2 linked regions of the Cricetulus griseus genome follow. The protein of the gene in region 1 interacts with the protein of each later gene in a biochemical or structural test. Links are inferred from orthologs where the notes say so. Each region holds a gene or a part of one and is shown on either strand. Other genes may lie near its edges.

Evidence for each region. The genes of interacting proteins can lie anywhere in the genome.
Region 2: the proteins of Pdzd2 (region 1) and Ctnnd2 form a complex in vitro, tested with the Homo sapiens proteins (2 studies listed by BioGRID and IntAct, with this or other methods). The link is inferred for Cricetulus griseus from reciprocal best matches to the Homo sapiens genes PDZD2 and CTNND2.

What each region holds. Positions count from the first base shown.
Region 1 is NC_048595.1:345,575,798-345,580,034, forward strand, and holds the start of Pdzd2 (PDZ domain-containing protein 2), read right to left. Parts: upstream 2,901-4,237; 5' UTR 1,397-2,900; intron 1-1,396.
Region 2 is NC_048595.1:360,552,724-360,556,835, reverse strand, and holds the start of Ctnnd2 (catenin delta-2), read right to left. Parts: upstream 2,875-4,112; coding exon 2,743-2,874; intron 1-2,742. UniProt on the Homo sapiens protein: Has a critical role in neuronal development, particularly in the formation and/or maintenance of dendritic spines and synapses. Involved in the regulation of Wnt signaling.

The sequences.
Region 1 (4,237 bases):
CTGGGGGAGCATAAGATGGGTTTTCTGTATAGCCCTGGCTGTGCTGGAACTTACTCTATAGGTTAGGCTGGCTTCAACTCAGAGATCTCTGTCTCCTGCATGGTGATTAAAGGCATGTATCACCACCACCTGGCTAATTCATTTCTATACAACCCAACAGAGCCCCCTTCTACTGAATGTCACCCCAATGTCCCACAGCTGATCCGAGAGCCAGTGTAGGTATGACGGCAGATCTGAGAATCTTGCATCTTAACTTTACAATTCACCTACATCGTGAGTTTAGAATTATAAACAGTTACAGCACTGAATTTTATAAATTATGTTCCCTATCATATTCAACTTGATCCATTTTGTGCAAAGAAAATGTTTATATTCTTAGAAACAGTCTCTCTGGGGCTGGGGAGATGGCTCAGTGGTTAAGATCATTGGTTGCGCTTTAGTTCAATACCAAGCAACCAAATAGTGGTTCACAACCACCTGTGATGGGATCGGATTCCCTCTTCCAGTGTGCATAAAGACAGAGCACTCATATACATAAAAGACATAAACAAACCTTTTTAAAAAGAACCTTCTCTCTGAAGATGACAGTTTCCCCCTCCTTTGCTCATCACTCGAAGTCACTTCACTCTTAGTGCTTCTAAACTGGGTACTTCAACAGGACTACGCAATTAAAAACCTGACATCTTCAGCCATAAATAGTCACTACTATACTATCTATAATCCAGCATCAGAGGCTTTGGTACAGGAATCTCTACTAGTCTGAAGCCAGCCTGGGCTATATACAGAGGGAGGCACTGTCTCAATAAAGGCAGACAAATACCCAAAACAACAGCAATAAAGTGCTATCCTCTTTCCAAGGATCCCCCCCCCAAAAAAAAAATCTTTTAACTTCTGGGTAGTCCAATCACAACAGTCTGCACATCATTGAACAGGGCTATTGTCCAAGCACACTGCTTAGTAATTTGGGGCAAAGATCTGTCCCCCAGAGAAGATGACAGCCTTGTGTGTGGAAACATCCACACAGTTCCCTCTGGGAGAGGGAACAGCTTTGCTCTACCAAAGGTAATTAGAAGCTAACCAAAAGCCAGGAGAAAGGTCCAAGGACAGTAGGACTGACCCCTAGACTGTTTCAACTGCAACACACACACCACACTGACCACACACACACACCCTCCTTACATCGTCGTTATTGACAAACCAGTTCCAAATCGCTCCTCCCAATGAACACAAACCATCCAGGCAAGCAAACCCCCAATACAAAGTCACAATCCAGACAGGTGGCCACTCATTCTGGGAGGCTGTGGATAAATTCCCACATTGACGAATCCAGCCTCACTGTGCACCTCAATCTGGATCAGATCGCAAGGCCTGGGCTTTCTCCCCGTTAGATTCTTACCTCCAGTTTCCAAGTCACTTCTGGAAGTTTTCTCTCAGACCTCTTTCCTCAGCAGATCCAGGAACCTTGGGGGCAGCCAGCTGGCCTCCGTGTAATCCGATGGGGCTCAGCTGAGCAAGCTCCAGAGACCCGTCATTAGCCCCAGCACCTGCTGGCAGCCCCGGGCACCGGGCAGGGAGGGGCGAGGCAGGCTTCGCGGGGACGCTACCTTCCCCAGGTCCCCCGGGCTGTCCCCGTGGTCTCGAGGCTTTGCTCCTGCAGGATGTCGCCAACGCTCCTCCCGGCGGGCTACGAATGTGTGGGGAGGACCTCTCCCTGGCTCGGCGGGCGGAGGGGGTTATAAAAAGGCTGTAACGCAATCCTAGTCTGACTCCTCACTTGTCAAAACTCCATGGCATTTCAGAGTCCTTTCCCCTTCACCCTCCTCTCTGCAGGGAAAAGGAAACTGCCCCGAGGGTTGCGTGGAGTTTGGGGTTTCTCTTTCAGACACTTTTGTTTACATCTAGTGCACGGGAGCTTCCTGCGGTGAACTGGGAAAAAAACACTCCCCTACTCCCCCGGCACCCAGATACCCCTAACCTGGCCGCAGCGCTCCTATACTCTAAAGAAGCTACACACCTCCAAACATCATTTCATGACCACTATGCTTCACCATCAGCAGAAGCCTGGCTTCTTGTTGGGGCGGGGGAGCCCCCAACTAAAATCACAACTATCCTACCAGGCGGGATGTCAGGGAACTTTCCAGAAACTCCAAGTCAGATTCCTTCTGCTGGAATAACCAAACTCACCACCCCTGAATTACAATCGCCAGTGACTGCACAGCTAAAGCATTTCCTTTATACCTTCTCCGCTCGCCTGCCCCTCCCACCTTCTCCGGGCTCAGTCAACAAGTCATCCCCGAGAGAGGCCCGTATGGGCTTGGGCGGCGCAGCCATCTCTCCAGCTGCAAACTGATGAGGAAGCCCGACCCAGGAGCCCAACTTGTTTATGTCACACCCACCGAAGGCTTCCTGTGTTAAATTAATGAGAATGTAAGAACGGCTTCGGAAAACAATGTTTGCTTTTCTTTAAGTAGGAGAGAAGGCTGAGGGGAGCCTCCACCCCGTCATTCCATTGCTTTTCAAAACTCCAATTGTATTTTATTCTGAGTTTCCATTCCTAACACTTGTTGAAACGTAAAAGCACTGCTGTGCCAAACCTCAAACCATTAAGAACTTCTGCTGAAACAAAACACATTTCACCTGGCTCTAGAGGGCTCCAACTTGGTGCTCCCAGAGAGTTGAGGTAGGGATAGAGAGAGCTCCTGAGGTTAAATGAAGGAATGTCAGCACAAACAAGCTCACTTGCAGCCCTGTGCCTCCTCCTGGGACTTGCACAGACAGGCACACACCCTCCCAGCTCCTAGGTTTATATTGGAATCTTGCACGGTTCCACTTCATCCGCGTCTTCAAGCTATCAGTCTCTGCCGGGACATCCGGCAGCGCCTGAAAGTAAATGAGCTTTGCAACGGACAAATCTTTTGGAATTCGAAGCAATTAATTACAATGGAGGAAGTCAGAGAAGGCTGCAGTTCCCAGTACCATTACTGCCACTGGAATGGGTAATTAGAGCCTAGGAGAGGCCAGCCCATGTCAAGCCAGGGTTGGAAATCTGCCCACTCCCAGGAGCTGCCCTGGAGCACACGGTAAATAATCGCCACAATTACCAGCCCTCTGATTACCCCCAGTCGCCTCATTCAGACCAGCACAAGAGAAACCGGAAAGAGGCAGGAATGCCAGGCTGCGGCATTCCTTCTTTGACAGTTTATCTCAAAATGGAGTTCCTGTAGCCAACACCACCTGGTGGAGGTCCCAGGAACAGGGTGTGTGTCGGGGAGGCTAGCTTTGCTGGCCAGTTCCTCAAAAGTCATGATTTCAGAAAAGGCTGCTGCATCTCCCCTCTTTACAGAAAAGCATTTTGTTTCCAGTCAATAAAACTTTTTAAACGTTTTCCATTTGCAACTCCTTTTAGCCTGAGAAACTGTTACACAACCTTGGATATGTAAGTGTATAAGTTAGACAAACCAACTAAACATGTGCTGATAAGAACGCATAAAGAAATTGATTTAAAACACTTCTTCGGTATACATGTAATTTTATCATTTATTAAAGATGAGAGCAAATTGACATGATGAGATGCTGGTTTATTTTTTACTAAATTATTTTACCAAATTATTATTATTATTACTAAATTTTGGGTGAAAATCTGCTATTTCAGGACATGGGTGTCCTCAGAATTTTCCAAAGTTGACAGATATTTTATAATCATCAGCTGAGAATGCTGCTTCACACCAGGCAGGCAAGGTGATCCACACCTTTAATCCCAGCACTGGGGAAGCAGAGGCAGGTGGATTTCTGTGAGCTTGGGACCAGCTTAGTCTACATAGTGAGTTCTAAGCCAGTCAAAGCTATATAGTGGGACCCTGACTTTAAAAAACAAAACAAAAAATGTATAAGATGGCAGAAGTAAGTTTAGAACCATTTCAGAAGCTGTTAGAAATTCTGCCCTAATTCCAAGTCCCTATTCATTTAATGATTAGTATAAAACTCAATTTAGCAATGTAAACAGGTTTTAAGATCGAACATTCTAGTAGAATGCAATCCAAAGATAAATTAATTGGATGCCTATATTCTAAGAAATGATTGTAGGAAATTTTTGTCTGCTTTCTATAATTGAACCATTACATTTCTAGACAAGCAGGAAGCTTTGTGTATTCAAAACACCGCAGTTCATAACAAATAGTCTGAGGGGAGGTGCTTCAGCAGAGTCTGCACTGTGTGTGTCATCACGCCACACAGTGAC
Region 2 (4,112 bases), about 15 Mb from region 1:
AAGCCCTCAGCACCATTGCCTTATATCAACTATCTTTCCATACTGTTTCAAATATGCTTATTTTTTCATGTTTATGGCTATAGTATTCCCTTGGGCATGTTTTTCTATATATTGCAAGGCAGTAACTTTAATTTTATTTAAGATGTTGATTCACACAGGCATCATTTAAATGTCCCTCTCTAAGAAACTGAAATACTAACTGGAGAGGAATTAGGACCAGGCTCACATCTGAATCTATGCTAAGCCCTTCGTTATGTCCTACAGAGATTAAGTCTTTCTAGTTCCATCCACTTTATACTGCTGTGGTAACTATGTTTGGTGAAGACGATTCTATCCTTCTTTGAACCTTCAAATACTCGTACATCCATAAGATCTTAAAAGTTACTGTTGGTCTACGAGTAGATGGCACTGGCAGACGGGTGACTCAGGTTACAACTGCCTAAACTTGGGCAGGGTATGTGACTCAGTAGAGTGCTTCTGTAGCCTTCAAGAAACCCTGGATTGAATCCTCAGAAACTCATACACCAAGCATGTTTGTACACACTTGTAACTGTAGCCCTTGTAAAGCAGAGGCAGGGGAATCAGAAATTCAAAGTCAATTTCTTTAGTTAAATAATGAGTTCAATCTCAGACTGGGTTACAGGAGACTATCTCAAAATGACAACTACACAACTGTTTAGCTTTACTTATCCCTTTCAGAGATGGCAATGAGGTGATAACCTGAAATTTCTCTACACAGGACCTTGAGTGGCATGCCTTTTCATACATTGTAAGCTACACGACTGAGTCCCACAATAAAACACTGTATTTGTCATTAGACATATCTTGCTCTTTTAAATTTTCACCTTGCATTTTATATTTTATCACCCAACTAAAGTCGGTGTCTCACAAAGACTTCCAGATCAAATCCAAAGACACTAGGCTAGCTCAACTATGGTGAGGAAGTACCTTGAGTTCCTGGACTGGCATGAACCCCTGCTCCTGCTCTTCCTTAGAATGATCAGAAAACTCAAGAGTGGGATTTTCACTAGCAAACTCATGGAACAGCTCCTACCTAACATTTTCCCATTCTATTATATCAAATCAATCGACTCAGCTCTCCCTGTAGACCTATTCAACCGCATAGTTCCTGAAGTGGGGCTGGGGGAGGGGCACATCTGACAGTATCATTGATCTTTCTTGCCAATGGCATCTCCTTTGGCCTCACTGATAGACTGACATGTAGGAGGCATCCTATACTTATCCATTCAGCGGCCCCCTTTCCTAAACCTTATCCGCTTCCTCTGCAACCTTTCATTTTGTTTATGGAGCAGTGAATATTCATAGTCGCCCCACCTTTGAGCTGTGCTCTGCCACAATGTTTCTGCTGTTACTTGTGTCACTTTCCCACAATGCTTTTTTTGTTTGGTTTGGTTTGGTTTGGTTTTTCGAGACATGGTTTCTCTGTGTAGCTTTGGAGCCTATCCTGGCACTCGCTCTGGAGAGCGGGCTGGCCTCGAACTCACGGCGATCCGCCTGCCTCTGCCTCCTGAGTGCTGGGATTAAAGACGTGTGCCGCCAATGCCCACACATTGTGGCTTTCCCACAATGCTTTTGCTAAACCAGCATCATGGAATAAAACAACTCAAACTCAATGGAAAGCTGAATGAGGCCTGAAGAAACTAGGGTGTGAAGGAGCAGAGAGATAGAGCTCCGGGCAACAAAATATAATCGAACAGAAGAATCTGTCTCATGTTCTACGGCATCACAGCACAATGAAAATCTGCAAAAATTTACTGTTTACTTCAAAATAACTAGAAGAAAGCAGCCTGAATTTATTTCACTAGTAGAAATGCTTATTACCCCATCTACAGATTATATAGGTTAGGTTTCAAGTTATAATACTGCATTTTCTAAACAAATGCCAAAGTTACATGTCAATTACATTTTTTAAATGAAGAATCCTGCTTTATTCCCTAGAATATGCTCAAAAAAAAAAACTATGAGTCTCCATCCAAATTTCTGTAATCATTTGCCATCCTTGATTTACAAGAAACATAGCTTTTGTGGAACTTTTTAAATCTTCAACTTAAATTTTTTTAAAGTAATCTATTTTTATAGTGATGTCATATCTGAGAAGTCAATCAGATTTTGATGACTTTGACAGGGAAAGTTGTAGAATTTTTCCTGTATTGTAATTAACATGTTTTATATGATGATTTCTACTGATTTTCCTTAAACTCTCAAGTATTTATATTTCCACACAATCTTTAATATACAGTGTGATCCACCAAAAAAACTTCCCCGCCAAAAAAAATGAATAGCCATAAAAAAAAAAAACACCAGGAAGGGTGTTTTCCTTTCACCTCCTGAGATGCTTAATTATTATCAACATAGTCTTAAATTTTAGCTTTGCATATAATTGTTGACAGTTTATTAGACACCATTTCCGTATACCAACTATTTGAACCTGAAACCAGCAATAACAATAAATATTAACATATAGTCCAAAAATTCAACTCCATGAAAGTGTTCTTCTCCATATGGAATATGTTGGACTATGTTTTTAAGAAAAGCTGCCTAGATCACAAAGCTGTCTAAGTAATAGCATGAAGTCAAAAACAATTTTAACCATATTTTAGTATTATTTATCTAATAAATACTAACATGATATTATTCTCAAACAATGTAACCATCGATGTTCACCCAAAGAAGCAATTTTCACATACACCCATTAATAAGACACAAATGAAATGCTTCTACCTGTTCTTTGACGGAGGCAAGGATGGCAGAGGTGGTCTCTGTCTCAGAGCCGTCCCCATTGGAGGTGTTTAAGCCTGGACTCAAGGAGCTGGTCTTCTCTGAAGCTGAAGGAGGCTGGTCTGGGACAGGCATAGCTCCTGCAACACAAAAGGACAAGTTCAGACCAGCCAGACATAATCGTAAACAGACACAGCTATGGGGAATACAGTTGGGGGCATGAAAGTTACAAGCTGTCCCAACAAGTATGGTATAATTCCATAACAAGGATAAGAGTAAAGTTAAACAAAATGTCACTCTATATCAACCCCAACCACATCTGAGACAGCATGGGCACAACTCTGTTGTATTTTATCTTGCATGTGGGACAATAAATTATGATAAGGTAGAACAGAGATATTAAGGATGAAAAAAGGAATAAAAACATTGAGTCTAAGGATCTAGTTTATCTAGAGGTTGATATCTGATTTACACAAATGCATGACTCTTTTCTACTGGTATGTTTTCAAGATAATACATTACACATCCCCCTTTATAGGAAAACTAACACAATATAAATTATTATCCATAGCTAAAGGGATGCCAAAAAGAAGCTGGTTGGTCTTGTGAAATACAGAAATAGTTAAGTTCATACCCTGGCAGAGAGCAGACAAAACCTCTTTAAAACCTTCAGGGATCTTTTTGTTCAGTTGATTTTTGTCTGAGTTTAAGAAAGAAATCAGAAACTCAACTCACATTAGCACCAATGAAAAATGGACACACTGGTGCAGGCTAAACAATAGGACTCAACAAAGTTATTTTAGTTCCATTATACTGATCAAATTCACAGAGAATCAAAGTTTAATGGCATGAGGTGGTGGGCCTTTGGTGACTGACTGGGCTATTTAGTAAAAAGCTCTCATGAGTGTGTTGATGCTATGATAAAATGGCCCAGAAGGTCTCCTCCCTCTTCCACCATATGAAAATATTGTGAAAAGTATTATCTATGAACCAGGACATAGGCCCTCACCAGACACTGACTCTGGTGTGCCTTGAACTTGGGCTTCTTGATTCTCTTTAACTCTGAGAAATTATGATGATGATGGCGGTAGTGGTAATGATGATGGTGGTGATGATATATATTTTTGTGCATGTATGGATTTTAACAGGGCTGAGGACTGACCCTTTGCACAGCAGGCAAGCACTCCATCACTGGCAGTGTGAATGGTTTAACACAAAGACTGCTCTGCCAGGTGCATGTCTCCTCTAGCAAGGATCATTAACACAGAAAGCATTAGAAAACTAAGAAAGTTTTCCACATCATCCTAGTAAAAGGTTAAGGATGAATAAAAGTTATTTTCATACCCTCACAACAGTATTACCTGTCCCTCTGG